Linked DNA regions of Alligator mississippiensis. The protein of the gene in region 1 interacts with the protein of each later gene in a pairwise test. Links are inferred from orthologs where the notes say so. Each region holds a gene or a part of one and is shown in the gene's direction. Other genes may lie near its edges. The genes, in order: SPG21, PRPS1, AKIRIN2 and FAM114A1.

Region 1 (7,813 bases):
GCGCAGGTGCTACAGCCGGACATGGCGCCGGCGGCCCGCGGCCCCGCCGCACTAGGCCCGTCCAGTAAACACCTCCCGTCGCCTCGCCCAGCCCTCTGTGGCGTCACGAACCTCACGTCCCGTCCCCTCAGAACTACAACTCCCGGCAGGCTCCGCGCGGGGCCCCGCGCCCGCCGGCCGCTTGGCCCTGCGCGCGAAGCCTTCTGGGGCGCGTAGGCGCCGTGGCAGGGAGAGGATAGGCGCGGGGCATGGCGGGCCACCGGGATCGCTGCATGCCGGGAGTTGTGGGCCGCTGGACGGGAGCGCGCGAGGGTCAAACGTGTGCGCGGGGAGAAGCGCTGATAGTGGTCGCGAGAGGTGACTCAGCGCTTGCAGCCTCCACGTGGCCGAGCGGGCACAGCGCTGAGTCAGCCCCAAGCTGTGCGTGCGCTGAGCCCCGCACTTGGTTTGCTGCTGGGTGACAAAGAACTTCCTCGTGTTAGCTTTAGGCGTACAACCTACTAGTTTTATTGTGCGACCCCAAGTTTTTGTGTTGTGAGAATAAATATTAAGTCCCTATTTCATTTCCCTTCACCGTTTAGGTTTTTTTTTTTACGGGTTTCCCTCGCCAACCACGATTTTGAGTACCCACACTTAATATTATATTATATATATATATATATATATATATATATATATATATATACACACACCATTTTGGCTAGCACAGTATTTCAAGTAACCACGGTTTTTCGTGGCTGTGGCTGCCATTTTTCCCATGCGCTTTTTGTCTTGCCAACCAGGGGGAACTTTCAGGAACCTGACCCCAGCGGTTGGCGAGGGAAACCTGTACACTTTTATCATGTCCCCCCTTTTCTAAACTGAATAGGCCTGGCCTCTTTACTCTCTTCTCATCCAGAAGCCCCTCCATACCACTGATCATCCTGATTATAGGCAACACGCAAGGGGGCACAGGTGGGCATGTGCCCCCCGACCCTGAGATTGACCACTGCCAGCTTCTGTCATTCATGATCCTGATTGCCAAACTTCCCTGGACCCTCTCCAGTTCTATATTCTTTCTGAGATGTGGGGACCAGAACTGGTCAGTGTTCAGTTGATTCACTTCTTCAACATACATAATAACCATGACTTTCCCAGCCTGGTGAATCTGCAGCCTGGACACTAATGGTTTCTTATGACAAAATTAATTTGTGTCATGCACTTGGTCCAATAGAAGATCTCTTCCACAAGAATCCTTACCCCACAGCAGTGACCATTGACTGTCAGTGCAAGCTACTAGTGACTGCTTGAGGCACTGCAGACCACGGTTGAGGGAAAAAATTGGTACAAAATGAAGCTGCAAAGGAAGCCAGCTCCTGCCAAGCTTGGGAAAAAAAGTTAAAAAATAACAAAATCACCGCAACCCAGTGTTAACAACGGCAGCTGATGAAGTGAGCTCAGTCCCACAAAAGCTCAGGCTACACATCTCTGATTGAGTTACTCCTTAGCTCTATTCTGCCTTCTGCCTAACACTAGAACAGAACATTTCTGAGAAGAGATCCAAAATCAAAACATAGCAGTTCCCTTCAGAAACACCATTACAACCCTATTGCCATCATTCTGCTGGCTTGAACAACTTAACTGTGGTGGCTTGGTTCATTTTTTTGTTGTGTAACGTTCTTCTACAGTTGTTTGTTCTGTATTTGATTGAAAAAAAATATTTTGAATTTTGAATGACATGGCATACATAATCCCCCTTTCTGGATGCTTCCCTGAGATATAAGCAAGAGATCTAATAGTGCTAACATGTAATATCCAAATAGAAGACTTGCAATCAAGAAAAGGCAGAGATCTTAGCTTCAGCCTTATTTATTCTACCTAAACAGTTCAACATGGATGTGTCAATGACCTGGTAACTCTACTAGAGCGATTTTCAAGCTGAAAGCTTATATGACCTTTTAGAGAGGTAAAATCACCCTTCCTGATCCTCCTCACTACTCTCCTGTGCATGGATCGAAGAATACAAAGTTCTTTGGGTAAATGTGATATATTTTAATAGACAAACTAAATAGTTGTAAAAATTGTTCCCTGCAAGCTTTCAGGCACAAACACCTCTCTTCAGGCATAAGGAAAGTCTGCTGGTGTTGTGTGCTCCTAGGTGTCTTAGAAAAGATATGTCATTGTTGAGTCTGGCTTCTTTAAACCTGTCAGCTATTACATTATAGCAGATGCTTACATTGAGTTGCTTGTCCACTATAACCCTTAAAATCTTAGAGCCTTTTCAGGGATGTTGCATTGAAGGATACATCTCCCTATTTCGTAGCTATGACCATTTTCCTTGACATATAACAGGGTATTACGGAATATATTTTTTACACAGGCCCAGCTCACCAAACAGTGCAGAGGTCCTCAGTAGAAAAGCTACCAGTGTGATGTCTGAAGAGAGAATTTGTATGAAATGCATCATATAAGCCAGGACCCCAATGCAGTGACCATTTGCACATGTGAATAGCATATATACAATGAGCAGTACTGTTGAAGTCAGTAGGACAACTGTTGTGTGAAAAGTTCAGCAAGTGTATCAGCGTTCAAGAGATCGCAGACTTCAGTTTTATCATACTGCATTTGTGATTTTTTCCCCCTGGTAGGTGACAGTAACAGCTCATTACTTTTCCTTTCCATACACAGAACAAGAACCCGAACAAAACAAACCCCTTCAAGAAACAGTTTTCAAAACTTGTATTAGCAATAAGCTATTTTGGTTTACAAACTTAGATCCAAATATTCCCTTTAGGGGCATGGGTAAGTTCAAAATGATATGTGCATGGAGCAGGGAAAAGGCGACATAACACTATTTTATTACTCTTTTCAGTCCTGTAATCTCCAAAGTATGATCTCATTTTATTTGAGGCTTTCTACATGTGTAGCCATGGCTGAGGGAAGAGTTGTTCTCTGTAGACACCTCTTTTCTTGACATTAAATACTTTTCAACAGTATTCAACTGTGTTTTTTTTTAAAACAGAGAGCAGTTCTCCAGATAGAGCCATCTGGTGGGTTTATGCCACAACAGCTGCACATACACTTGCTCTATAAAATTAGTCAATGACATTTTTTTTCCCTGGTCCTGGCCATTCCTGGTGGAGAATGTAAATCCACTGTCCACTTTCCAAGCACAACTGCCTCCAAATTAAACCAGTCTGCCATCTCAGTTCTGTAGTTTTGAACTATGCAGCCATCCAATATCAGATAAGGTGACTGGAGCCAGCTCACACCAGGACAGATACGGCCTATGGACCAGCCAAAATTCACTGAAAAACATCAAGTTCTACTCATCACGATCTAAACCCTAATGGCCAGCTTGCAAACGAGAAAAACATAACTTTCATCAGCTTCTTTTGTAAAAATTGAACCAACAAACCCGTGGCATCAAGCGGGCAGATACCTCCATTGACAATACTAGAGCTGCAAGTCTGCACCGGAGAGCAGAGTTTGGCCCTTGAATTTTAGCACAGCGGTTCTCCACCTTTTCAGACTCGAGATCCCCCTCCAGAGGCTCAAAGCCTCCCACAGAAAATGCCAGCTCTTAGCTTTCACTCGTTTGACTACAGAAAAACAAGAGCCATTGCCCTGTTGCAAAGAATCAAGAAACCCCGCAACTGGTCAGGATGGTTAACGCTGGATCCCCGCGTGCAAACAGCATTTCTCTCGTGAATCGTGACCTAGCAGCGCTAACGGTCTGTGGCGCCCCGAGGCACCCCGGGAAGGATCTCAAGGCACCCGACGGTGAGCCGCCGTTCGACCACGTGCGTCCCGCTGTCGCCCCCCAGCAATGAACTTTAGCCAGGGGGTAAAATGCCGCTGGAAAGGGGCAGGCTTTCAAGGACGCTCTCTGGAGGCCTCACGCTGCTTGGCGGTCTCCCACAACCCCAGCTCTCCGAGTCCTGTTAGCACTACGAAGACCAGACTTCATTTTCTTTAAAAAAACCCAACAGCCTGAGCATACTGAGAAACCCTGGGCACACCCTGAAGGCTCAGACGCCAGGAAAAGAGAGGAAGGAGCCCCACACCACTCTCGTGATGTACCTTCATGATGCTCCACCTGCAACAGCCACACCTGCGCATGCGCCTCGCCCCAGTCCCGTGCGCATGCGCACTCTCCCCCCTCCTGGGCTGTGCCTCAGTAACAATGGCGGCCCGGCGCCTCGCCCCGCCCCTGCGCGTGGTCACGTGGCCGGCGCGTGGCTCCGCGGGAAGGCGGTACCCGGAAGTCGCGGCTGGAGGCGCAGGCAGCGCGGTCCGGAGCGGAGCGCTCCTCCCCTCCCCCCACTCCCTCCTCCGTGAGGGGGAGCCGGTACGGCGGCATGGGGGTTGGGCAAGGTGGGGGATGGGCATGGGCTGGCGGGGCACTGGGCCCGGGGCTGGGCCGAGGGCTGCCTAGGCGCTGTCTCCCGTCTGTGGGGACGCGGGCACAGGCTGGGCAGGGGTAGCGTGGGGGGTCTGTGCTGCCCGCGCGCCCGTGTAATTTCTGTCGTGGCTTGTGGGACCTAGACAAAGAGCCAGTGTTTTCCTTAAATTGGTTTTTAAAACTTGTTTGGTTTTTTTTAAAGACGTGCGTGGCACCATCCTGGACAGCTCCCTGCGTTATGTTCCCTGCCTTTGAATGAGCTGGGAAATCGGATAACCAGCAAAGTGTCGTGGTTAAGCTTTCATGGTGATGGTTATTCACCTAGGAGGCTTTTAACGTTGCGTTTCTGCGGAGACTTGCCTGCGCCGCCGCCGCTGCGCAGGAGCCTCGCAGGAATTGAATTTCCTATCGCCGACGTTGTTTTGTAGCGGTGCACAGAGACGAATAGGAAGGAGCGCGAGCACGGAGCAAAATAGCTGTAAGATGGGAGCACGAGTCAAGGGGCAGTGGTTTGCGGTGTGTGGTAGTTGCCGTCTGGGTTTGGTTCGTATTAGGTAGCTCTCTGCTTCAGACAAACCACAGCTAATGCCAATTAGGGTTTTTGGTAACGATCTTGGTAGGAGCCCAAGGTTTAAAGGTGTGGAGACTGTTTCTTTTGAGTCTTATAAGGGGCCCCTGCAGGTTGGTGTTCAGGTACATTGGTGAGACCATGAGGATGGTAAAGAAAAATGCTTGTTCCAGTCCTGTTCTCTAGAATAACTCCGTCTCTAAGGTTGCCAATTAATGCCTTGCACTTAAATTAATGGCACTAATACAACCACTGGCAGCAAGAGAAGGGAGAGCGGAGAAGAGCTGGAATTGGCTCTCAATCCTGTGATGAATGAAACCATTTCTTTAGCGCGCAGTCCTGTCATCGAGCTAAACGGATGCTTCCTTACATTTCTCTAAAGAATTTGCTTATGTGCTCGCACAGTGGGACCCAGATCCTGACTTGGGCTTCTGGCCACAGCTATATAATAAATTAAAATACAGTGTGAAGCATACACTGCTCTTGCATTAAGGTGTCCGTGTGTGTTTTGCTTGCTTTCGCAATTTCTGCAGCATATTATTGCAGCGTTGTTTCCAAAAATGTTTGTTTTTTGCGTAGTGGCTAATCCAGACTTATGCAGGGGATTTAGTAGAACAAATTGCTCTCTTCTTTTTGCCTAATGACCAGCTGTCCTCCCGTTCCAGTAATATTGTGAGCCTGCTTCACTCGCCAGTCTGTTGGCTGGAGGCGGTGTTTGCTCTCCACTAACTTTTATGCGCTGCCAGGCTAGCACAAGTGGTAAAATACTTGACGCAAGCAGGAACTTATCCAAAATTGAAATACCAGTCAACCCAGTAGGGTGAGATTCTCACCCAATCTGGAAATATTTGTGATGTGGTGAAAATGAAATACTTTTTGCAGTTTGGAAAATAGTAGGTAAGAGGCATGTACTTCATGTTTCTAGTAAGTGTTTCTTCACTGTTTGTTCCATCTGTTTATAAACTAGCAAACTGGGATTGAATTCAAAAGAGCTGTATCTTAATTGCTTTTTTTGTATAGTGGTGGGAACAGATGAGGTGAATTTCCTTCATTTAGGGTCTTGTCTACAGAGAGAAATTGAGTGGAATATATGACAATTCTGATTAGAAATGAGAGTCAGTACCCATTTAATTATATCTGAATATTTGATTAAAAGAGCAAACACCTTATTTTCTTATGCTCTGTACACTGTGAAATTAAATGAATCTCTGGGGCAGAATTTCCCTTTCAAGCAACAGGTTACAAGCAGTCAGAATATAGCCCCAGTTTTAAGAATTATCCAGTGTTATTTGGTATACAAATAAAAGTGCTTAATCTATCAGTGCCATGGCGTTTCACTAGGCTAGTCTTGATTTCATTATTGCAAACAAATTGTGTCCTATATAGAACATGAAACCTCAATATATGGGTAATTTTGTTAATGCTTCTTTGTCTGGGGGGAATTGGCTGTAGTGGGAATAGTCCATCTACAATAGCTATTTCAGAATAAAGCTCCGTGTGTGGACACTTCTGGAATAAACTCTGTTTTAATTTTAGAATTATTACTTTGGCTGGGAAAACAGTTATTTTTCTGGAATAATTTTTTTTTTGGAATAAGTACACTAATTATGTGGAACAACTGTTGGATGTTGCTGTTTTGGTCGGCTTCTCTGTGAAGAGATGCCCTGAAGCTTTGACTGTTCTGTAGAACAGGTATCGAGTAATATGGAGGTAGTGTTGAAGCTTGCTTTCAAGAAATGCTTATGTTAGTTACAGTTGAATTAGAGCATGTGTCCTATATACTTGAATAATTGGAGGGCAAGGCATGAAATACGTGGGCATTTATAGCCCCTTTTCTGAACTGTTTAAAGTTGAATAGAAGCAATGATAAAAATGTCCACTTTTTAAAACAAGTTAAACCCTGAAATACTATCTTTCCCTTTCAGGAGCTGCTCCATTGGAATGGTCTGTAAGGAAAAGCTGCCTTTTTATCCCCGAAAGCTCCATCAGTTCATAATTAGAGGGTTAGTATATTAAAACATTCTAGTGATTGTATCTTCTGAATACCTTTTAAGTAGCTTCTAATTAAAACTAAGGATAACCAAACTTGACATGCATTAGAAACCAGCTGATAAGAGGTAAAAGCAAATTTCATCATGAAAGGACTCTTTGTATATACAAGGCTTCAGTGTAGTGGCTTAGTGCGAACCTGCATTCTTTGCCTAAAAGATGCCATATCTTTGTTTCAGGTTTACCTAAGTTTCATCTAAACATCATGGGAGAGATTAAAGTCTCTCCTGACTATAACTGGTTCAGAAGTACAGTTCCTCTTAAAAAGGTAGGTACAATTTAAATAATTTGTTATGAAATAGAGCCTTATTTCACAAGGACCGTGCTGTGCAGTACTGAGAACTGTCTAAGCCAGTGGTAGCAATGTTTTGGAGCTGTGAGCTGGAACAACTCGACTCCGGTTTGGATCTGTCTCACAGACCCCTGCAGAGTGCATCTTTGCTGGAACTCCAGTGACTGCTTTACATGACTTGCAGACGGTCATGTCTACTGACATGACCCATGTTACCATCTTGCCTGGTATGGCGCTTTTATTTTTGACACAACTCTTTTTAAAGTAATCTCTACTGGGTTCCTGGTGCCATCTGAGCTTTGGCAGTCTGCTGGAGAGCTGTGCTTGTCAGCACTTCTGGCAGGTCATTTTTGATTCTGAAGTTAGGAATTGGCAGTGCAGTTTAGCTGCCTGCCCTGCATTGGTGCTGCTGCTGCTGCCGCCTACAGCTCTGACTTCCATTCCCATTGGTTTGGTTTGGTTTTATGTAGAGCTCTTCTCATCCTCATGGAATCCAGGCTGCTTTCTGAAGTCCCATCCA
Region 2 (8,128 bases), on another chromosome or scaffold:
GGTATAACTAAACAGCAATTCATAGTGTAACTCACCCAACCCAGCATGGAAACCAGGTAACAAAATCACCCCTTTTCACTGTGTAACTTTAAACCTCAACCCCAAACAGTCCCACAAGGACCCTTCGGGTTGAGAATCTTCACCCAGTGCACAGCCCCAACTGTCCCAAGCAGCATGACAGCACAAGGACTTTCACCCCTCCATGGTCATATAGACCACACTGATGTCTGCAGTCTTTTAAGAACAACTTGCTGGGTATATCTACATGTGCATTTACGCCAGCTTAAATTTACTGAGGAATTAGCAAGAATTAGCCAGCATCTACATGTGCAGCTGTTAAAGTACATTAAATGCTTTGTGCTAAACTTAGTCCCAAGTCAGTCCACGCTCAAAGTGTTACTGTGCAGTAAGGCGTTTACACGTGTTACTCCACAGTAACTAATAGGGTGTAAATTTTATACCTGTATGATGCAGGTATCAAATTTACATTCAAGTTGTTGAAAGTCACCATATTTACTGTGCAGTACGGGCATACACGTGTAGATGTGCGCCTGTACTATTTGGTAATTTCGGTTACTAGGCAGTAAATGTGCACAAGTAGATGCGCCTACTCAGGTACAGATCTATAGCCACGATCAATTTCTGTCTCCATTCAGGTCTCCTCTGTGGGGAAGTCATTCCTTCTCCCAGCTGCAATCAGATCAGACTCCTCCACAATCTCCCTGGAGCCTCTTTCTCAAGTCAGGGAGTAACTCCTCTCTTTTTCTCAGTCCATCCCAGCCCTGGGGAAAAATGCCTCCCTTTTTTCAGCTCCTTTCTCCTCCCCACCCTTCCTGCAACCCCTCCCCATATTCTCATTTTCATGGGCTTTTGGTAAGCCCTGCGCATTACTCCTCCCATTGGTAGTATTCTTGCATCATCCTGCCAGTTCCCAAAGCAGATTGGGAAACATAGTTCAATTCCACTCCAGGGCTCTGGTTTTCCTGGACTTTGAGTAGCCCAACCTCTCTCTGCTGACCCCTCACAACCCAGAGGGGTTACACTGGAGCTGATTTGGGCTCCACATTTTAGAAAGGATATGGCAAAGTTAGAGATGGTGCAGAGGCAACAAAGATGATCAAGGCTTGGAAGGCCAGTCATAAGAGGAGAGGCTGAAAGAGCTAGTCATGTTCAATTTCCAGAAAGGCCCTGTGGTGACAAGAAGCCCCCCAGGTATCAAGGGGGCTGGGGAAAACCCCAAGAGCCCCCACGGGGAACACACAGACCCCCCCCCCCACCTCAGGGAACTCACCTTTCTTAGCGCAGCCAGAGCTGGAACTGGAGCCACAGCCGCGCGAGCTGGCATTACACTGGCTCTTTAAACAGCTGTTCCCAAGGCGGGGAAACCCTGGGCTGTGGGAAGTTCATGGAAGCTGGCAGGTGGGGTGGAGAGAAGGAGAAAGCCAGCAGGGAGCACGTCGGGCAGGCAGAGACTCCAGTGGCTGGCAGGAGTGTTGCCACAGGCGCTGCACCTGTACCTGGAGCAGGGGGAGCAGCGTCTCTGCATTAGGCAGGGGGATGATTGGTCCCTGCCCACCTGCATTCAGGAATTCATAAGAGTGCCTCTCTCTCTCTCAAGGAGAGAGAGAGACAAGAGAGATAACAGGAGCCCAGCCCTCTGGCATCAGGGTCTGGGGCTCCAGATGCCTTGACATCCTGGCAACTGAATGGCACCAAAGCTGAAACCGAACCCCCCCTAGTAAAAGGGGTTCACAGGGAATGGTGGAAACAATGATACTAACACCCAAAGCAGTCAGTGAGGGGATAGGATGTAGGGGAGGCAGAGCCCCGAGGAACACCACGGTGCAAATGTTGAGTACCTCTGTCACCGGGTCACCCGAGAAGAGGAATACCACTGAATCTCCTCCTTTCACAACAAGTCATGGCAGGAGAGTTGCGGGGAGCTCCGGTAAAGGGGGACGGTACGGTACTCACCCCGCCCACTAGAGGCACCACAGGCCCTTAAGAGGGGACATAGCCGTCTTAAAATACTTGAAGGGCTGCCTTGTAGGACAAGGAAAACACCTTTTATCCCTTGCTGCAGAGAGGAGGATGCAGACCAATAGCTTGAAGTTGCAGCAAAGTCAGTGTAGATTGGATATCTGGAAAAAACTTCTTCACTGTTAGAACAGTGAGGCAGTAGAGTAGATGCCCAGGGAAGTTGTGGACTCCCCATCACTGGATGTGTTCAAGAAGGGGTTGGACAGCCGCTGCTTGGGGATGATCTAGGTGTAGCTATGCCTATGTTCTACCATGGGTATTTGCCAGGCTTCTGGTCTTTGCTGATTGTCCCCTGCACCACCTTTTCTGCTACATGTGTCAGGGTGTTTTTAAGCCTTCCAGAGGCACTGGGTGTTGGCTACAGCCAAAGGCTGGGACTTCAACTGGGATGTGCCAATGCCAGGGCCAAATTACCCCTTTAGTGGGCCCTAGGCAAACAAACTCATGGACCCCGGGCCAGTCAAGACCCCCCTTCCCACCCCGACGCTGCCGCCTGCGGGGAGTGGGGCTTGCAGCCACCGCTAGGAAGCAGCCACCACTGCAGCCAGGCTGGCAGAGGGAAAGGGAAAGGAAGGGAAGAGAGGCAGACAGGCCATTCGCATCGCCAATGCAGAGCAAAGGACTGGGACCCCATGCAGCTCAGGGCCCTAGGCATGTGCCTAGTTTGCCTATGCGTTAATCCAGCCCTGGCCAATGGTCCTGCTGGGACCAAACCAGAGGTTCCTGGCTAGAGGATTTTGCTCCTCCACTCAAATCTAGTCAGCATCTTTGGTTTCAGAAAGGAATTTTAGCCCATGGTCAGATAAAGGAACAAATTGGGGGGGGTTTCTGCCTTTGTCCTTAGTGGGGGGACATGGCCCTCTACCCGGGGTCTCTTAAGCACATACTGACATTTTATAGAAGCAGGACATTGGCTGCTGTGGTTCCCCTGCTTTACCTGTGTCAGGCTAGGGTGCTGGGTTCATGTTGTGGCAGGGTTGATGGTTGTCTTATATAGAATTTAGATTATGGTTGTATGGGATGGTTGGGATAGGGATGATCCTGCCTCATGCAGCGGGCTGGACTAGATGACTTCTGGCAGTCCCTTCCAGCCCCACTTCTCCATGACTACGATTTTACATAATTTAGTCCAATAAAAGCTATCACAAAACATAATCCTCATTTCTTTTACATACCCTGGACTGGCACAGCTCCAGCACCCCAGTCCTGCCATTTGGTTAGTTGGACATTGGCAGCTAGACAACTCCTACATGTCAGCTGGCAGCAAAAGTTGATTGGGAAAAAAAATTGCAAATGGTTTGACTTTGCTTAGTTTGTTTCAGCGGCTCCTCTGTCGCACTAGCTTCCACAAACACCTGTGTTCCCGCCCAGGGCTGCTGTTACAGCCCTGGGTTCAGCCAGGCTGGCAGCTGTGGAGGCCATCGGCTGGTGCCACATGTGCATGAAGCCAAGCTCATTTAAGAGGAGTTTAAGGAAGGAGCCAATTGCTCCTGTTGCCTGACCGTGACTTCTGCCACACGGCTGAGCCAAAAGGGGCCAGGGCTGGGCTGCAGCACTGGGCATTGCCATCACCAATTTGCAGCCCACGAATGCCACACACCCCTGGAGGCTGCAAGGGGCACGGCAAGCTCCCGCAGGCAGTGGCAGCACTGTTGGTGGTAGGAGCGTGGTTGTGACAAGCAGGGAGCTTCCGCAGGTGGCCACGGCGCTGTCAGCGGCAGGGGGAGGGGGTGGCGAGCACCAACCAGTGGTTGGCAACCACTCGCAGACGCCACTGGCAGTGTCAGCCGCGAGGGGGAGGGGAGAAGTGATGAGCAACGACCACCCACAGGCACCGCTGGCAGTGTCTGCAGTGCCTTTTTGTAGGGGGTGCACCAACACGCTCAGGGGTGCACATGCACCCGCGTGCACCCCCTACACATTGCCAATGGTGCAGGCCCCCCGCCTCTTCCCACCAGACAAGGCAGGCTACAGTGCGGCTGCAGCGGGACGTGCATCCCACACTGAGCACAATGGCACTGACCCCGGGTGCCCGAGCGGCAAGTGGCTGCTGGATACACACCTGGAGCCAGCCTTGCCAGGTCTTAAATATGAAATGACAGTGTTATTGGAAGCTCAAAATTACCGTATTTACTGAAAAACTATCATAAACTGAAAACACATACAAATAAGTGTTTTTATTTACTCTGTATTGCTCAGTGTAACTCCCAGTGAGTGAGTGAGAACTGGGTCTCGAAGTGGAAGCGTTTATTTCAGGGCAAGAATAAAAAAAGAGGTGACAGCAAATGCAAAAGCAAGTTAAGATTCTTTGAGAGCGGCTTGGGTTTTGCATATGCCGCATCAATTAACTGCCTCAAAAAAAAATCCTGTTTTCTGAACGCTTCTACTATTATTGATCCTATACCGTGCAAGGGTTGAAATTATTGTACAAATACGAAGATTACTGTATGCCTCGGCGCGGGGCGGCGGCTTCCTAGTGGTGCTTCCGTCTCACTCCCCGCCGCTGAGGAGCCGCGCGAACGGAGACTGCCCTTGGCCCGGCGCTGCCCCCTCCTGGCCGCCCCGCCTGGATTCGGCCCTGGTTCGGTCCCGCCCCCACATGCCGGAACGAGGCTCGCAGCTGCCCAATAGCGGGGCTCGCTGGCAGCCAATCGTTGCCCGCTCCTTCCCGCGCAGCCTACACGTGCCGCCGGATAGAGACGGGGAGACAGTGCTAGCGTATCCTCCCCACAGCCAATCCGCGAGCCCAGACCCCATCCCTCGTCCGCGGCGGCCGCGGGGCGCGAGTTTGAGGCAGACGCTCAAGCCCCGCCTACTTGGATCCCCGCCCAATTCGATAGCGTCCCCTTCGGCCTGAGCCCGCCTCTTGAAGCCGCACGGCCAATGGGGAGCGGGCGGAGGGGCGCGGAAGCAGGCCCGGGAAGTGATAAAGGGGGGGGCGGCGCAGCCGGCGGGAAGGGCTAAAATGGCGGCGTAGGCACGCGCTGGCTCAGTGTGCAGTTGCATTCCCCCGAGCGGCGAGCAGGCGGCGGCTGGAGCCTGGAACCGGAGCCGGCCCCCGCCCCCGCGTGCGGCAGCGGGAGGGTGAGGCCGGCGCCATGCCCAACATCAAGATCTTCAGTGGCAGCTCGCACCAGGACCTGTCCCAGAAGATCGCCGACCGCCTGGGCCTGGAGCTGGGCAAGGTGGTCACTAAGAAGTTCAGCAACCAGGAGACGTGGTGAGCCGCGGGGTGGCGCGGACTGCAGCTCCCAGCCAGGGCGGCACGGGGCCATGTGCGCGGGGCGGGGCCGCGGGCCCTGGGCCTCGCCCGGATTGTGCCTGTGGCCAGTGCCGGCGTCCCAGTGGCGGACCCGCTCCGGGATGGCGCTGGGCACGGGGGGGGGGCAGGCCTGGTTCCTGGCCCGTCGCGGTGTTTGGGGCGGGGTGAGGAGTGTTAACGGCCCGAGCTGTGGCCGCATTGGGCCCGCGAGCCGGAACTGGAGCAGCCCTGGATGATGCAGTTGTGGCGACTAGCAGTGCCCCGTTGGTCGCCAGCCTCTTCTGCCACCGTCCAAATCCTGGTGGCTTCCCTGTTCTGAGTTAGGGGTTGAGGACAGAGAGAGACGGGGGCAGGTCCTCCCTCCCCTGGCTGTGGGGCGGCAGGTGGTGAAACGCTGGCAGCTGCTGCTTCAAAGAATCTTGCTGCGTGGGAGCTGGTAACTAAATCCCCAGGGAAGAGGCTTCTGAAGAAGGTGAAGCATGAGGGTTGTGGCGCATCATGTATAGTTAGATTGGACTGGGGTGGAGGCCATGGGTCTGCAGCCATGAACCTCTCTCCTCACTTCAGCTACAAAAGACAGGCCTGTTCTGATATGCTTACAGGAGCATGTCAGGATGTTTTGCTAGTCCCAGGGTTAATCTGAAAGCCAGGCATTTGTTCAGTGGTTTTAACATTTCAATAAAGCACTCTGCCTTCTAGCTGTTACTATAACAAGTTTCAAAAAAGTGTGAACAGCCCTGTTGGAAGTTTGCTACTTGGTCGTAAAATAAGTATTGCAGAGAAAAAATGAGGTGAGCTTCCTCCATGGGTTTAATGGCATCTTGGCTAACCATCCTGAAGCCACAGATTCAGGGAAAGTTGTTGGGCCCGTCCCCATCCCCTGATCCCTCTTTGCTTCTTAGGACAATGCAGTTGTTTTTCACCATTTTGGGGTTCCCTCTGTGGGGACACAGACCATCAATGTGATGGTAGTCTTTGCCAACCTGGGTCTCCCTTTTCCCAGCAGAGTTTGGAATCCAAGTTTTACCTGCCTCTTCCCCACCCCCCACTGCACTGTGCCACAGTGTTGCACCACATGCCACTCTGCTGATTCACTGTGTGCCCAGGCACCTTTCCTTGCTGCAGCATGTGTCCTGACTCGCCCATCACTCCTCAGCCATGGGCTCCCCCACTGCTCATGTCACTCAGGCAACCTTGGCATGCAGACTCTCATGCTGTACCATCTTGTGCCTTTGGGCACAGAGGGGAAGCCTGGATCCTCTGCTGCAGCTGGAACAATAGGGGGAGCAGTACCTGGGAGCCCAAAGGCTGCAGTTTGGAGAGCCCTGACTATAACAAAGAGGATATCATCCAGTATCCTACTACCAAGATTTCAGAACCAGTTTGGTTCATAATGTCTTGGATTACAGATAGGATAATGGGAATTCATCAAGTGGATTTTTTTACCCACTTAAAGTAAAAAATCCAAGGCAAGCAGTCTGTTTGCCTGCTTGCCAGTATACCAACTAAGGGTTCACCCTGTGAACTGAATGTGGGCAGTTCATTTTCAGTTGCTAAATGCCTTAAAGTTCTTTATTTTTAAAAGCCTGGACTATTGACAATGAAAAATTGAAACTTTATTCTAGAGAATCCAAGCTTTTAAAACAGATTTGTGCTGACACTTAAAGCTTTCTGGTCATTTAGCAGCCCGTGAAAACAGTTTGAGGAAGTTTGCATCTCTTTGGTGCCTATTTGTACCATGAGACATGCAGTTCCTAGTAATTTCTTATATATATTCTCTATCATCTCCATCTTGCTGGAAGAAGCCAGGCCTAAGTTTGGGGAACCGGGTTTACACGGTTAACTTGCCATGATAAAAAGCTTGGTTTGGAACAGTAGGAAATCACTGTGTTGCTTTTCTCTGCGTAGCCTGTTCACATGACAATAATTACCGTGTTCAGCAACTACTTCTTCCTATGGATAGAATCCTCCTGTCCATGGGACTGCAGTAATACTACATCAGGAAAAACATTGCATATGTTTCCGTTGCATAAATATATGCTGTAATTGAAAACCCAATGAGTAGGGCAAAATGGTTTAGATAAGACTTGCAAAGGAGTCTGTTTACTAAACTACAGCTGATGTCATTACAGTGACCTTACAACCATTCATCATGCACTTTTATCCATCCAGCTGGCTGGTCAGACTCTTAATGTTAGCAAATAATGCTGAACATGCAAGAGCTAACACTGATCCTGTTCCTTCCTTGGCTGTAATGCGAAGGTTTACTTGGAAAGGCAAGATTAGGTACTTAGTCAATACTTCCTTGGGCTTTACCAAAAAAAATCCCACGACTTATCCTGATTTTAAAGTTTACAGCAATAAAAGTGTCTTAGGTTAATTCCACGCTAGAAACTTTGGCCTGTGTAGCAGTCTTGAGTGTGATTGTTGTTGTCATTTCTGTATTGATAAAAGTGCTAGTGTATATAACTATAGTGACACAGAGAGTCCTTTTACTGGTTTAACTTATTCTTTTGGGGGAATCTGGATAACTTCTATTGGCAAAATCACTTATTTGCTGCTATAAATGCTCTTGTGTAGCTCTATCAACCAAACCCTTGGTGCAAGATCGGCATTAAAAGCAGACAGTTTGGGGATCGGTGAGGGAGATGGACAGAAAAATTAATTTCTGTTAAAATAATCTCCCCCAGTCTCTAAAATGAAACTGATATCAGCACAAGTTGCATGATCTTGCTGCTCTTTATCCATTAGTGGTAACCTATGCTAGGGCAGCCAAACAGCAAAGACACCTCTAGAACATTGGTATTTCAAGATGATGAGAGAAGT
Region 3 (7,836 bases), on another chromosome or scaffold:
AAAAAGTTCGTGATCTGGCCCCACATTCAAAAAGGTTGGACACCCCTGATTTAAAGGCTCCATGGGACCTGATACTTGATTGCAACAGTTGCACCTCCTGCAGTGCCACTTGTACATGGCAGGAGGTGCAATTTAAGGATCAGGGGTCAGATGCCAACTGTGCCTCCTCTGCTTGCTGGTGCAGGGGGAGACTGGGATCATGATCCTGGTCTTGCCCTGCACCAGCTAGTTGAAAGCCAGATGCCTGCAGCCTGGTGTGAGCCAGTGTAGTCCTGGGCCAGGGTTGACCATCAGCTGGTTGTTGGCCCTGGCCCCAGGACCACATGGGCCAGTTCAAGACCTCAAAGCCAGGATTGTACAATCAACTGATTGCTTGCCCTGGCCCTGGGGCAGCCCTGGACATGCCACACATTCAATTTAAGGCACCATGCAAACCAGCCATGAAAATGTTCTAAATATATGTGAAATATTTTTATGGCTCATTTGCCATTTTAATATGCACCCTTATCATTTATATCACAATTAACACTTTAATTGCAGCATAAATGTAAACATGTAGAGGGGCTCCTAGATAAAGGCAAACTTCCTTTAATTTAATTTTATCCCATTTCTATTACTCTAATACTCAGGGGTCCCATTTTCACCTCTCTTTCAGGCAGTTCCTTACCCACTTGACAAGTCTCACACTAAAACCCATCTTTTTATTTTAACTGATAATTTCCCCTGTGGCATCTTATCAATTACTTACTTCTATCCAGATTAGATATATTGTATTTTCTCTGTCTAATAAAAAGGTCAGCAACCTCTGGTCCATGGACCAGATCTGGCCTACAGGGCCATTGGATCCAGATCATGGAGTGGGGGCTTCGGCAATATTCAGCAGTGGGAGGCTTCAATGGGATTCTGTGGTGAGGGGCTTTGCCCATGCAATGCTGTATTGTGCTGCAGCCTGACACTTCAGCTATGCTGCGCCATTGTTGGGCAGTGGGGACAAGTGGCAGCAGTGCTGGCTGGGTACGAGCACCAGCCTGCCTTCAACCCGAGCTTGGTCATTCTGGTCCATTGCTGAAAAACATTGCCAACCGCAGGTCTAGAAAAATCACAAAGTATACCTAATGGCAATCTGGCATAGAACAACACACCCAGTACCTAACTTGAGTCTACCTAAGCCAGGGAAAGAAGCAGCCAATGTGGCTTAGAACATATGGCCTACTCATTCTGGAAGTTATGAATCTGTGCAGCAGAGACAGTGAAAAGACTGCCTAGTATTGTCACTGTATGGTGTGGATCTCTCGACCCTTCAAAGGTTCCCTGGTTGGGAGGTGGAGATGCTGGAGACAGTACACCTCTTCTGAAGTGGGCAGCCATCAGAAAGTGTGTTAAAGTAGAAGGATGATGATGTGAACCTTGTGTGGAATGAGCTAAGTCACACAGAGATGAAATAGGTGAAGACCAACAGAAGATGCAAAGAGCATGAGAAGAGGGCAGGAAAAAGAAAAAAAAAGAGAGGAGGAAGGAAATTAGATAGAGTTTGAGGCAGCTGAACAAAGGGAGGACAGAATGAGAAAAGAAAAATTTGGGAAAAACAGGAAAGAGTATAATGTCTAAGAAGATTTACACTCAGGGTGCTTGATAACCAAGTTACCATTGTTTAAATATAATACACTATTTCCCCAGGTTTTCCAAAACTACACAATATTAAAACACTGTGCTACATCTTGACTGTAGCTTTTTCAATAGATACTGTTATTTAAGTACAGACCTAATAAAGACACAATTTTGCGGCTTCAGTTTTGAACAGGTTGTTCAACTCTACGCTCAGTGTTAAGAAAATTAGTGGGTTCTACATGTAAATATATAAGACCATAAAATACGTAATATATTATTGTACAATGAGATTTGTTTTTGTAACAAACAAAGCAATGAAAGAACAATAATATAAGCAGTGGTTCAGAGCCCTAACTCCAAGGTATTTTCCACCATAATTAAACTACAACCAACCAATTCACTGTTACTGGATAATTTTCTGCCTTGGGGCTTATCTACATTCAACATCTCTCTTGTTTAGCTTAAGATATAACTTCAAATTTAAATTGATGCTAAAGGTTGTTTAAAAAGATGTTATTGCTTTAGCTAAACTAAAACCAGTGCACATTTGTGTATAGCCAAAGTGTTAAGTTAGCTCGCTGTTCCTTCTAACTACAGCCCTGCCTGCATAAGCCAAAAAAGCTCCACTTTAGTTGTATTAGTTTTTCTTGACTAAATTTCTTCACCCTCCTCAGATTATGTCAATGGAGTTAAATTGTGTCTTATGTGGCTGGTAAGGTGTGGGGATTTGTGTTCAGCTAAATGGACTGAGCTAGTTCAGTTGACAAGATGCTTTTTGGCTCAGAAAGACAAGGTATAATAGTTCCAAATGTAAATTAAAGGATATAAATTATTGTGAGACTTCAAATAGCTGTCCAAATGTGGACAAGTCTCTCAGAACATAGAGGAAGATTGAGTTGGCTGTCTTGACTCTGTATAGATGTAGACTAACCTAAACTGGATGGACATATAAAATATATTGACAGATGACAAGATTTCTCTGATTTAGAGCCATCACCATAAGAAAGCTATGTTTTGGTGTTCTTGGGTTATAGAGTTTTTTAAATTTGATTAAGTCCTGTGTGAAGGCTTGTCTGAATGGGGAAATTATCTGGTATCACAGCACGAGCATAATTACTGGTATACTATTATGGTCACGCAAGTATAGCACTTGCTATGAACGCTATTATTCAATGTTTCTAATGTGTAAAATAAGAGTGTCCACAGGAAGAGCTGGACCTTGTAAAAGCTTTCCATATATGCCCAGGGGTATGTATACCCCAGTTTGCGGAGAGTTTTACAAAATCAGAATTTGTCATGGTTTAAAAATGGGGTTTGTCAAAGCCAGCCTCAGGAAAAAAAGAATGTCTTCAGAAAAAAGAAATTCTCCTCTGGCTGTACATGGTTAGAGAAAGCCTACTCTAGTAATTCATAGCTTTGTCCATGCAATCAGTCAAAGAGAACACCGATTATTAAATATTTCTTTTTATTACAGTATGCAAAAACATCCAACCAAGGCTGGTCCCATTGTGGTAGGAACCCTGCAAACTCAGGGTCAGCATGGTCGTCAGATGTATATTACAATTGCTATGATCCTGTCACGGTTTGGTGAGTGCACGTATCAGGTAACCTCGGCCTGCATAACTAAAAGTCACTGCCAACTGAGGTTCTGGAAGGACTCAAGCTTTATTCCACTCATCATTTGAAACCTATTTGCTCAAAACTTTTTTTTTTTTAAACCTGATCAAATCTAGACACAAGTGGTTGCTATTAGGAATGCTTTTCCATCTCTGAAAGCTTTGCTAATTTCCCAAGGACATAGCCTAGCATGCCTCCATTCTCTCTCTCAGCCCTAGTGAAATAAGACAATTGACCTTAGACAGTTAAGTAGCCGCTGTCTTTTTCTTTTTCCCCATTTTGCAGGGCACTGGCTCACGACATTGGTTTGGATGCTCAGGAAGCAGAAGGCCTGGTGTCTTCATGGTGAGAACAAAGCTCCCTGGTGAGAGCACCGCTGGATCATCTGGAGGGTACTACACTCCTAGCCAGGCCTTTTCCAGCAGCGGACCAGCCCTTCACTTGTGTTGAGTCCCAGATTGTCCAGAGGCCTGCTGGTGCAGAGGCCAAACTGGCCGTAGCTTTTGCGTCCCAGAGGGACTGGGTCCGGAAAGCAGCCTGCCCACTGACAGAGCAGGCATAAAACGGGGGGTGGGGGGGTGGGATTTAAATCCACAAGGGCATTGGGGCACCAGGGAGATTTAAATCCACACGGGCTGCAATGCTCCGCTGCTGTCTGCAACATTATGATTAACTTTGTATAATCATCATATTATACACTGTGTATTACACTTATATATTATAATCATCATTATTAACAACAATTTTATTACTAGTACCAGGGTTGCAGACCGGGGGCCTGTTGGCTCATCCACTCCTGATGGTATGTGTGTGCCAGGGGCTGTGGCCAGGCCGGGCCCCAGCACCGGCCCCGGCTGTGCCTCCCCCGGGACCGAGCCCCGCCCGCCCGCAGCGCCATGTCCCAGGAAGGCAGCCCCTCCCCCCTTCTCCTGTCCTTTCACCCGCAGCCTCGCTGGGGATTTAAACGCTACCCCGGAAGTCGGGGCGGCAGCGCGCGGGGGCCGCCGGGACTTGTAGTCCGTCCGGCCGTCCGGGGCGCCCGCGGGCGGGGTCCAGAAAACCCCAAGTCCCGTAAGGCTGCGCGGCGGCCACCGCCCCGGCTGCGCAGGCGCAGTGGCGTAGGGTGCTTTTTGAATCGGCGGCGTTGTTATTGACGCCATATTGCTGGTGCGGGAGAGTCATAGACGGGAGCGCCGCCGCCATCGCTCTTCATCGGCCGCGCCAGGCCCCGCCGCGCAGTCCCGCGACGCCGCGCCGGCCCAGCCGCACCCCCGCCACCGCCTACCGGCTGAATTGAGCGCGGGCGGCGCGGGCTCCCCGCACGCAGCGCCCGGCCCGAGCCGCCCCCCGCCCCGCGCAGCCCCCCCGGCCGGGAAGGCGCTCCCGGGCAGGGCCCCGCCGCCCCGCGCCCCGGACCCGGCCCGGCCATGGCGTGCGGCGCCACCTTGAAACGAACTCTGGATTTCGACCCACTGCTGAGCCCAGCCTCCCCGAAGCGGCGGCGCTGCGCCCCCCTGGCGGCCCCCGCCGCCGCCGCCGCGTCGGCCTCAGCCGCCGCCTCCTTCGCCGCCGCCTCCCCGCAGAAATACCTGCGCATGGAGCCCTCGCCCTTCGGAGACGTGTCGTCCCGCCTCACCACAGGTGCGGCCCGGCCCGGCCAGGGGGGGAGGGGAGAGGAGGGGGGCGGCCATTTTCTTTGCCCCCCGCGGCGGGGACACAATGGGCGGCCGGGGGTGCGGAAGCGCCGTGGGCGGGGGAGGGGGGCAGGGCGGGCCCGCCCGTGGGTCGCGGCCATTATGTGGGGGGGGGGGGGCAGAGGCAAGGCGGGGACAACAAAGCCGGGCCCCCCCGGGGCTTCGCCGAGGGGGCAGCGAAACCCGCGGGCAGGGAGGGGGTCTCGCCCGGCTGCTCCCGGCGTCTCCGCGCCCTTGTCCCGGGGCCCGGCCCCCTCGCTCCAGCCGGATGTCACCGCCTTTGTTAGCCACCTCCTGGGTCCCAGCTCGCTGCGGCTCCTGAAAGCCTGGGCCCTGCTTGAGGGCAGAGCTGTATAGGAAATGCCCGCAGCGGTGGAGCTGAAGGCAGCCTGGGAGAGGGCAGGGAAAAAGGCATTTTCTTGCATTTGACCCCGTGGCTGTCCTGTACTTTAAAAAAAAAAAAAAAGGTTGGGAAAGGATTTTGCATGAGTCAGCATCAGGCAGCGATTCTATTGGGGAAGGATGACACAGGCTGATACAATAAGACAATTACCATAGCTGGATGTGTGTATCTCTCTCTTTCTTTCTCTCTTTAGGAAGAGCTCAGTTCACCTTGCCCTTTTAAAAAGAGGCATTCTTGCTTAAAATAGGAAGGTTTTACAGTGGGAAGTGGACATGGAGGGTTTTGGCACCGGTGTGGTTGAGGAGGAGGAGGAGAAACGCTGTTACTGTACAGTGCTGTGACTAATACGCTTTGCTCAAAAGGGGGTGATGAATGTAGCTGTCAGACATTAGCAATGGGGAGGCAGTGCATTGGCAGTAGCCTTCATAGGTCTTTACAGACAACAGTGTATTATTAGCAGCAATGTTCAGCATCTGTTGGCCTTGGGTTACCTTGTGGGGAAGAAGGATAGCTTAAATTTTAAGGGAAGGGAGGAAATCCAATAATGACAAAAAAACACATCAGCCCACAGGCAAATTTATGAAGTAGTTAAGGGGGAGTGTCAAAGGTAACCTCTGGTTAGCAGAGGGGAAATGTGTGAGCCTTTTCCTATTTCTGTGCCTCCTTGTCTGGTCAGCATCATTTGTGGATATTTGCATCCATAAACTAGTTGAAAAGTACTCAAAATATCATCTTTGATTTACAAGATGAGAAATGAGCCATTTCATGTTTTTGATTTGGCACGGTCTAAAATAGTATAGAGCTCTGTGAGGGTATGAATTATTAAATCCTGGATTTTGTAGCAGCACATCGGCTTTATTTCTCTGAAGAAATGAGTGTCAGTGGTAGCCTTTTAAACTATTTGCTTTTTACACTACTGCATCCTAAATTAAGATATTCTGCTGAGGTGTAGTTTGATCTGTTCAGAAAACGAAACTGAGATGAGCAATTGTATGCTGGCTTTGTGAATTATTATTTCATAATGGCAAAAGATAAGGTGTAGTGAATCAGATGTTCCTTCAGGTTGCTGAATAGCCTTAAACAACTTGCCTGGTTTAAATTGGATTTATGCAAATAGTGTGCTCTGACATAAGCTGTTAGTACTAGCACTGTCATAATGAGAACTTTTTTGTTGCATATCTATTGAGTGCTAACTGTGAATATTGGGATTTAGCAAGTTTTATACTTCAAATTAAATTTAGTCATGTGTTCTTTCACGAAAGACATTGTTACCCTCATTTTACTTGATTATGTTTCCAGTGAGACCCTGTCCTTTTAAAAAGTCGCTTTTAGAAACAATCATAGTATCTATACCTGTATAATTCATTGGGCTTTAAACAAACTAATTCAATCTTAAAAGCTCGTTTTTAATTTTTACACCGCATTAGTAGTAGTTTATTCACAAGGCTTGAATTTAGTTGATTCCACTTAAGTTTCCTATATAAAATACCTATGTGCAAGTCTTCAGCACTTGAAGAGAATTTGTTATTTTATTTCATGAAAATATTTCTATTAACATTAATAAGTTCTGCGTATACAATAATTTGTTATTTCTATACTCCTAGATAGTCCTTAGTGCAGCAGTTTATTTCATTTTCTTTTATCTGCTGTTCTCAGTCTTCCTACTGTGTGACTTCTATTCTTAGTGGAGAATGTGGACCCCCTCAATATTTTAATACTAGCTAGTCTCTTCAGAAACAAATGCTATCTGAAAACAGAATGTATAGATTTGAATGGGCACTGGGTTTACAGGAGTGCAGATTAGATACCAGCTGTCTTAATTTAAATATAAAACTTAGGCAAATAAATGATATGCCCGTTTGGGAGAGGGAAGACTTCAAATCAAAATGAAATTTCAGTTTAACAAGAGTGTTTGAATATTTTATGGTTATTTGGACAGCTCTTAGGTTGCTTTTAGTGTCTTGGTGGATTTGGCAGCTGTTCTGCCTTGTGGATTTCTCATCTACACTACTTACGGATTCTTTATGTGGGTTTGTATGACTGAGTCATTGCTGCATACCATAAATATTTTGTATCTAAAAGAAATTGTTAGAGAGGCTTAAACAAAGATTTACCTTTGTCCAATCAGTATATGTATTTGTTTCTTAATTTTATTAAAATATTTCCCCCTTTTTGAGTTGGAGAGAGAATTTTTATACTTGCTAGCAATTTTGTTGCATATTTTCTAATTAAGATTTGATGTGGTACCCCTATTTTGTGTACATATAGTTAGTGAGAAGTGAGTGCTTTGTATGAATTTAGTTTGAAAGGCTGGGATTATATAGGAAAATAATTACATGGTAAAATAATCATAAATAATCACATCCCAGTATCTTCAGGGTACCTCTATACAATATGAATTAAAAATTCACATTTTATTGTGATACTTCAAACAGGTTAGTGGGTGGGTCTATAAGTACATGTTGGTGGGACAGGGTTTAGGCCCAAGTGTCCTGTGGCAGTTTCCTGTATCTT
Region 4 (8,229 bases), on another chromosome or scaffold:
GTCTCGAGACGAGGGCCACCGAAAGGGGTGGTGTGTTACCGCTGTGGGCAAACCGGACACATCTCCCGCGAATGTGGGGAAGGCCTGAGCGAGCTGAGTCGCACCCCAACAGGATATCCACCCCCCCGGGATAGAGGCAAAGAGGCAGAGAGAGGGGAACCCATGGATTGCAGTTTTGGGTCGGCAACCCAGAGGGAGGGATGGAACCGGCCCGTAGTAACCGCATGGGTTGGAGACAGGGCGGTTAAGGCCACATTGGACACGGGGTGCTCCCACTCCCTACTTCGGGCAGACCTCGCTCCGCAGAGGGAATGGAAGAGTGAGGGGCCCCTGACGATGACCTGCATACTAGGGGGGGAGATGCGGTTCCAGACTTGCTATGTTCCGCTTAGGGTGATGGAGTTTAGCGGAGAGTTGCGGGTTGGAATTGCCCCGACCCTGGCGTGTGAGATGATACTAGGCCGAGAATGGGGGCCATTCTATACAGTCCTCGAGCGAGTGAGGGCTATGCAAGAGGAGAGGAACCGGATCAAGAGGGGAGACGGATGGGCCGGCGAGGGCCCAGCCCGTCGCAACGAGACAATGGCAGACGGCATCGACCTAGAACAATTCGTGAGCGCGGCCCAATTTCTTAGGGCACAACATGAGGACCCGGAACTGCAGTGGATGTGGGACGCTGATCCCGGGGAAGGACCCTCACAGAGGCGTCCCCGCTTCGAGGTAACAGGGGGACTATTATATCGGGTCCACCGGGGTGAGGAGGGTACCATACGGGGGAGACAGTTAGTGGTCCCGTCCTCACTTCGCCAAGTGGTGTGGAGATTGGCCCATGACTCACCCCTGGGTGGCCATCTGGGACGTAACAAGACCCGGGCGAGGCTGGCCCAAGAATTCTTTTGGCCTCGTCTCCAAGAGGACGTGGAAAGGTGGGGGGCCGCATGCCCCGAGTGTCAGAGGGCCCAGGAATGGAAGCCCCCAAGGGCACCCCTGAAGCCCATGCCAATAGCAGAGACACCGTTCTTGCGGGTCGCCCTGGATATAGTAGGACCCCTCCCCAGGTCACATAACGGATACCAATATATCCTGGTGATGGTAGATTATGCCACCTGTTTCCCAGACGCCGTGCCCCTTAGGTCCATAACCGCCACTCGAGTAGCGGAAGAACTTCTTAAGTGGATAGCGCGGGTGGGCATACCTCGGGAAATACTCACAGACCAGGGAACAAACTTTATGTCTGGGGTAATGAAAGCTTTATGTAAGACCCTTGGCATCACCCAGCTAAAGACCTTGGTCTACCACCCCCAAACTAATGGTTTGGTAGAAAGGTTAAATGGGACCAGCAAGCGGATGCTCAGGCGGTGCGCCCAGGAAGACCCGCGGAGGTGGGATACTATCTTGACACCCTTGCTGTTCGCCATAAGGGACGCTCCGCAAGAGTCAACCCAGTACTCTCCGTTTCAGTTGGTGTATGGCCATAGCCCTCGGGGACTGCTACAAATCGTAAGGGAAGAATGGGAAAAGCCAATAGGCTTGGGGGTGTCGGCGGAGAGGTACCGGGAAGAGCTACAAGACCGAATCTCCATGGCCCAACGGATCTCCAGGCGAAACCTGAGGGACGCCCAAGGCATACAGGAAAAGCGTTAGAAGGCGAAAACACGGACTTTCCAGTCGGGGGACAAAGTTTTGGTATCGCTGCCAACTTCCTCCAGCAAACAGCTGGCCATGTGGCAGGGGCTATTTACCGTGGTGAGACAAGTAGGACCCGTGGATTACGAATTACTTAAACCAGGCCACCGCCGGGAACGACAGATTTACCACGTGAATCTGCTCAAGAAGTGGAAAACTCCTCAGGGCTGGTTGGCCCTAGACGGGGATACAAAGGAGGACCTGGGACCGCCGTGTCCCTGGTTAGGGAGACCCGGGGAGGAGGGGTCAGTACAAATGGGCAAGGAGTTGGGCAATCACCAACAGCGAGAATTAGTAGCTCTGATAGAGGAATTTAGGGCAGTGTTCCAAGAGATCCTGGGACGAGTAACGGGAGTAGAACATGAAATCAGGACACCTCAGGGAGCACTGGTGAGGGAGAGATGGAGGCCGATACCTCAGCGGTGGCAACGGGAAATACAGCAAGAGATCATGAGAATGCAAGAACAAGGGATTATACGACCGTCCCGCAGTCCATGGCGGAGCCCCATAGTCCCCGTCGTCAAACCGGACGGGTCATTGCGCATATGCATAGACTACAGGAAGCTCAATGCCCTGACTACGTTTGATGCCTTTCCGATGCCCCATGTCACTCACCTCATGGAGAAAATCGGTGAAGCACAGTATATAACCACGCTTGATTTGGCAAAGGGATATTGGCAGATCCCGATGCGCCCCATGGATTGTGCCAAAACAGTCTTCGGGACCCCGTGGTCCAGAACAGCCTTCTCTGACCAGAGAAATCCAGGGCAGCCTAAGGGCCAAAAGGGGAGCACATAAAAAGTGGAAACAGGGTGAGATCACTAAAGATGAATATACCTCCTCTGCTCGTGCTTGTAGGGAGGCAGTTAGGCGGGCCAAAGCTACCATGGAGCTGAGGATGGCAACCCAAGTAAAGGACAACAAGAAATTGTTTTTTAGATATATTGGGAGTAAAAGGAAGGCCCAGGGAGGAATAGGACCGCTGCTAAATGGGCAGAAACAATTGGTGACAGATAGGGGGGACAAGGCTAAACTCCTCAACGAGTTCTTTGCCTCAGTGTTCCTAAGTGAGGGGCACGACAAGTCTCTCACTGGGGTTGTAGAGAGGCAGCAGCAAGGCGCCAGACTTCCATGCGTAGATCCTGAGGTGGTGCAGAGTCACTTGGAAGAACTGGATGCCTTTAAGTCGGCAGGCCCGGATGGGCTCCATCCGAGGGTGCTGAAGGCACTGGCCGACATCATTGCAGAGCCACTGGCGAGAATGTTCGAACGCTCGTGGTGCATGGGCCAAGTCCCAGAAGACTGGAAAAGGGCTAACGTGGTCCCCATTTTCAAAAAGGGGAGGAAGGAGGACCCGGGCAACTATAGGCCTGTCAGTCTCACCTCCATCCTTGGTAAAGTCTTTGAAAAAATTATCAAGGCTCACATTTGTGAGAGCCCGGCAGGGCAAATTACGCTGAGGGGAAACCAGCATGGGTTTGTGGCGGGCAGATTGTGCCTGACCAACCTAGTCTCTTTCTATGACCAGGTTACGAAACGCCTGGACACAGGAGGAGGGGTGGATGTCGTATACTTAGACTTCAGGAAGGCCTTCGATACGGTATCCCACCCCATACTGGTGAACAAGTTAAGAGGCTGTGATGTGGATGACTGCACAGTCCGGTGGGTGGCAAATTGGCTAGAGGGTCGCACCCAAAGAGTCGTGGTAGATGGGTCGGTCTCGACCTGGAAGGGTGTGGGCAGTGGGGTCCCACAGGGTTCAGTCCTTGGACCGATACTCTTTAATGTCTTCATCAGCGACTTGGACGTGGGAGTGAAATGTACTCTGTCCAAGTTTGCAGATGACACAAAGCTATGGGGAGAAGTGGACACGCCGGAGGGCAGGGAACAGCTGCAAGCAGACCTGGATAGGTTGCACAAGTGGGCAGAAAACAACAGGATGCAGTTCAACAAGGAGAAATGCAAAGTGCTGCACCTAGGGAGGAAAAATGTCCAGCACACCTACAGCCTAGGGAATGACCTGCTGGGTGGCACAGAGGTGGAAAGGGATCTTGGAGTCCTAGTGGACTCCAAGATGAACATGAGCCGGCAGTGTGACGAAGCCATCAGAAAAGCCAATGGCACTTTATCGTGCATCAGCAGATGCATGACGAATAGGTCCAGGGAGGTGATACTTCCCCTCTATAGGGCGTTGGTCAGACCGCAGTTGGAGTACTGCGTGCAATTCTGGGCACCACACTTCAAGAAGGATGCGGATAACCTGGAGAGGGTCCAGAGAAGGGCAACTCGTATGGTCAAGGGCCTGCAGACCAAGCCCTACGAGGAGAGACTAGAGAAACTGGATCTTTTCAGCCTCCGCAAGAGAAGGTTGAGAGGCAACCTTGTGGCTGCCTATAAGTTCATCACGGGGGCACAGAAGGGAATTGGTGAGGATTTATTCACCAAGGCGCCCCCGGGGGTTACAAGAAACAATGGCCACAAGCTAGCAGAGAGCAGATTTAGACTGGACATTAGGAAGAACTTCTTCACTGTTCGAGTGGCCAAGGTCTGGAACGGGCTCCCAAGGGAGGTGGTGCTCTCCCCTACCCTGGGGGTCTTCAAGAGGAGGTTAGACGAGTATCTAGCTGGGGTCATCTAGACCCAGCACTCTTTCCTGCTTATGCAGGGGGTCGGACTTGATGATCTATTGAGGTCCCTTCCAACCCTAACATCTATGAATCTATGTGGGGCCTATTCGAATTCACGTGGATGCCCTTTGGCCTCAGCAGAGCAGCTGTGACGTTCCAGAGGTTGATGGACAACCTGTTGGCACTGCACGCAGCGTACGCGGCGGCGTACATTGATGACAACTTTATATTTTCCGCCAGCTCGCAACAACACCTCCAAGACCTCAGAGCAGTCCTGGGAGAACTCCGAACAGCAGGGCTGACCGCCAACCCGAAGAAATGTAAACTACATTTAAAAGAAACAGCATACCTAGGATTTCGAGTAGGCCGAGGGACAGTGCGGCCACTCACAGATAAGATTGAGGTTATAAGGCAGTTCCAGGAACCGCGAACCCGCAAACAACTGCGTTCCTTCTTGGGACTCGTTAACTATTATCAGCGATTTATACCCTGCTTCGCAACGCTCGCCACACCACTTACAGACGCGTTGGCTGGGAGATCCGTAACGCCACTGAAATGGACACTGGGGATGCGAAAGAGCTTCCAGAGTTTGAAAGAAGCAATGCGCCATGACATTGTCGTGCACACGCCTAACTTTAACGCCCCTTTCGTTTTACAGACGGATGCATCAGGACGGGCGCTGGGAGCAGTGTTACTCCAGAAACACGGGCAGGAGGAGCACGCAATTGCCTTTGCCAGCAGGAAACTCAGCCAGGCAGAAACCAGGTATGCCACCATCGAGAGGGAATGCCTGGCAATACGCTGGGCAATAGAATACTTTAAGTACTACCTGATGGGGAGGGAATTCGTGGTAGTAACAGACCACGCACCACTACAGTGGTTGACACAGAAACAGAGCATGAACACCAGGATCACCCGCTGGGCTTTGGCATTACAGCTATTCAAGTTCACGGTGATACACCGTCCTGGCAGAGATAACTTTGTGGCTGACTTCTTGTCCAGGTGGGGAGGCGCAGACAACGCAGAGGAAGGTACGGGCCACATCCACAGGGAGGAGCAGCAGGTGACACATGCTGTCACGAGAGAAAATCAGCCACCACAAGGCAACTTAAGAGGGGAGGACTGTGGCGGCGAAGTGCCCCCACAGGCTAGTGAGGGAGAGAAGGGGGGACCCACAGACCCCAGACCCCGAGAGCAAGCCCCCAGAGGGGCATACGTACCGGCTGAGGAGCAGCGGGAGGAAGAGCCGCATTCGCGGCTGCCATTACGCCGGCTCTGGCAACAGCTGTTCCCGGCACAGCGAACAGCTGAGCCAATCTCAGCGGCCGTAGCGGCCGCTGTGGGAAGGTTTAAAAATGCCGGCAGGACAGGGAGAGAGGGGGAGCCAGGGAGAGAGAGTACGGGTGTGCTGCCCGTGCTGCGGGCTCTCGCATGGAGCGGAGAGGACCCAGCCTGCGGGTCTCAAGCAGGCAGCTTAGACAAGAGCTGGAAGCCTTTCGCAAACAGCAGAGCGAAAGGCAGTCAGAGAGTGCAAGCCGAGGCAATCTCTCTGCATCCTGAAGCGGCTGACGCTCAGGAGGCAGGGGAGCGCTCTGCTGACGGTAGGAGAGGGGAGACAGCAGAGGCTCCAGGAGGGAGCTGGAACCAGGGGGAGCACCCACCAGCTCCCCCTAATTCAGAGGAGTATTTTCTGTAAGAGAGGAGAAAGGAGAAATCCCTCCCAGCAGGAGGGAGGACGACCGGGAACCGGTGAACCAGTCAGAGGCCATCATACTGGGCCTGGAAACATCTGGAACGCATCGCCCAGCAGTTGGCGTGTGGACGGGGTGTAGGGGAGGCGGAGCCCCATGGATCACCACGGCCGACAACCGTGAGTAACACTGTCTATCGGGAGGCCCCACCCAGGATAAAGACCTCCACTGTAGACCCCTCTGAAGGTAATTGATTACATCCAAGTCGTGGCAGGCGAGTTGAGGGGAGGGGCAACACCCCGATAGGGCAGGTGGAGCGAGGCACAGGCTCCACACCATCACTGATGGTATAACACACAGCTCACTTTTGGTTCCATACAAAAATTACTTGGTGAAATGTTATGAGTTAGACTCACTAGATAAAGGTGGCCCCTTTTCTCTGTAAAATCAACACATATATTCTATCTGCCTTCTTCCTGATTGTGTTCTCATCACAACTCAGTTGTTTTGTGCAACTGCTCGTCAGCTCTGGACCTCCCTCCATCTTCAGGTCTTCCAGAGGCCAAGCCTGAATATCTTTTGGAAGCACTGCATGACCTTCCTACTTGGGCTGGCTTTTACTAAACAAAACTAGGATAAGATGTTGTTCAGAGGGTGTCTGTTTTATCCTAGATCCCTTTTAAGTTGTTTTGGTCTTCATGTTACTCGCCTGTTTCTAAGTTATTGTTTGCTTATTTTAAGGTGCCTTGAGCCTTTGTTGGGAAGGGTGGTATATAAAAATTAAATAAATAATCCTTGTCAAGGAAAACAGAGACTGCCATACTCTAGTCACATCACATATGCCTCTGCATAGTTAATAAAGATTATAGTAGCAAATGAAGGAGGAACTTAATTTTAAGTTAACCAGTGTGTTTATTGTCTTTCCTGTGTCTGTCTCATGTTTTAAATTCTGAATAATTTTTGTGGATTTTTTTTACCTTTAAACTTAGTTTTCAATGTACAACAATCTCTTGTGCTTACTAGGCCTGATTCTGATTTCATTCCTGTGGGGCTAGCGTGGGCATCTCTGGCAATGTGTGTGTGGTGCTATGGTGAATTTTTGCTTCTTGGACTCCAGTCTGCTCTGTAGATTGGACCTGTCTACAACAGAAATTAGAGTAGACTTGTGACTAATTGTACTTAGGCAGCGCAACTCTGGCTGGCTGTCTAGAATACAGACTTGTCTGGGCAATCTCCCTCTCAACTCTGCTCCCTAAGCATTCTTAAAGAGAGCAAAAAGCTGTATAGAGTGCTTTTTAAGGAAAATTTACCTCAAGGGTCAACTTAGGGCCCATTTACAACTGATGCCGTAATGTAAAGATCCTTCACAAGTGCAGGAACTGGCCTTTAGTTCTGGTTTTCATCACCATGAGTAAAATCAAAATCAGACCCACTGCAAAAGGGATTTTGCTAGACCTGAGAGTCGTCAAGGTACTTTTAAGAATGGATTTGCATAGACAGTTTTACAAATCAAAATACGTTTTATAGCAAATATGAATATTCAAGTAATATTTGAAAATGCTTGACAGAAATATGTAATAGTATCATGGTTCAAAGTTAAAATAAAAAAGATAGGAAAAGAGAAAAGCCATATTTTCAGATGAGATTGAAAAAATTATGGAGTGCAGGTGAGGTAGGCAGGTCCTAAAAACAGTGTTCCAGGTGGCAAGGGTTACAGAGATGTTTTTTCCCCACTTAAATTGGTGAAATAATGGGATAAGACCCAGTGGATACTGATGCTAAACAAGGAGGAAGATGAGAAGGAAAGAAAAAAAGATGTGTTTGATCTATGGAGCATGCTAAATCTACAAGACTTCTTTGGAAATAGTCGGGGTTCAACGATCTATACTGACCTTGCCCACCTTATCTCTTGTTGACAGTAATTGGCATTCCATCAATGCCAACTATGGATGGGGGGCTATAACTGGCCCTCAGAAATGAACCTTCATGATTTCTGTAGATAAAACATGTATATTTGTAATATACACTTACATTGTCTCTCATTTAATTCTTACCATGCTGCATACCTGCAAGCATTGGTGAGTAAAGCTGCTTTTTAGAATGGTTCTGTATCATTTAAGTGTTTCTGGAATTTGTAATAACTGAGTAGTTAATTTATATATCTGTGCTATTTTTTTAAACAGAAATAAAAATGTCTGGTGACACAAGTGATGCAGTACCCACCA

What was found.
Region 2: the proteins of SPG21 (region 1) and PRPS1 interact in binary tests that used the Homo sapiens proteins (3 or more experiments, as listed by UniProt). The two-hybrid records come from large-scale screens. The link is inferred for Alligator mississippiensis from reciprocal best matches to the Homo sapiens genes SPG21 and PRPS1.
Region 3: the proteins of SPG21 (region 1) and AKIRIN2 interact in binary tests that used the Homo sapiens proteins (3 or more experiments, as listed by UniProt). The two-hybrid records come from large-scale screens. The link is inferred for Alligator mississippiensis from reciprocal best matches to the Homo sapiens genes SPG21 and AKIRIN2.
Region 4: the proteins of SPG21 (region 1) and FAM114A1 interact in binary tests that used the Homo sapiens proteins (3 or more experiments, as listed by UniProt). The two-hybrid records come from large-scale screens. The link is inferred for Alligator mississippiensis from reciprocal best matches to the Homo sapiens genes SPG21 and FAM114A1.

What each region holds. Positions count from the first base shown.
Region 1 is NC_081834.1:6,523,468-6,531,280, forward strand, and holds the start of SPG21 (maspardin), read left to right. Parts: upstream 1-4,224; 5' UTR 4,225-4,330; intron 4,331-4,586; exon of another isoform or gene 4,587-4,862; intron 4,863-6,877; 5' UTR 6,878-6,955; intron 6,956-7,180; 5' UTR 7,181-7,206; coding exon 7,207-7,269; intron 7,270-7,813. UniProt on the Homo sapiens protein: May play a role as a negative regulatory factor in CD4-dependent T-cell activation.
Region 2 is NC_081831.1:42,099,959-42,108,086, forward strand, and holds the start of PRPS1 (ribose-phosphate pyrophosphokinase 1), read left to right. Parts: upstream 1-4,979; 5' UTR 4,980-5,138; coding exon 5,139-5,260; intron 5,261-8,128. UniProt on the Homo sapiens protein: Catalyzes the synthesis of phosphoribosylpyrophosphate (PRPP) that is essential for nucleotide synthesis.
Region 3 is NC_081824.1:75,631,573-75,639,408, reverse strand, and holds the start of AKIRIN2 (akirin-2), read left to right. Parts: upstream 1-4,463; 5' UTR 4,464-4,652; coding exon 4,653-4,866; intron 4,867-7,836. Other genes in the region: uncharacterized protein LOC106738238, read right to left, coding at 3,984-4,385. UniProt on the Homo sapiens protein: Molecular adapter that acts as a bridge between a variety of multiprotein complexes, and which is involved in embryonic development, immunity, myogenesis and brain development.
Region 4 is NC_081825.1:50,196,819-50,205,047, forward strand, and holds the start of FAM114A1 (protein NOXP20), read left to right. Parts: upstream 1-4,906; 5' UTR 4,907-4,921; coding exon 4,922-5,078; intron 5,079-8,187; coding exon 8,188-8,229. UniProt on the Homo sapiens protein: May play a role in neuronal cell development.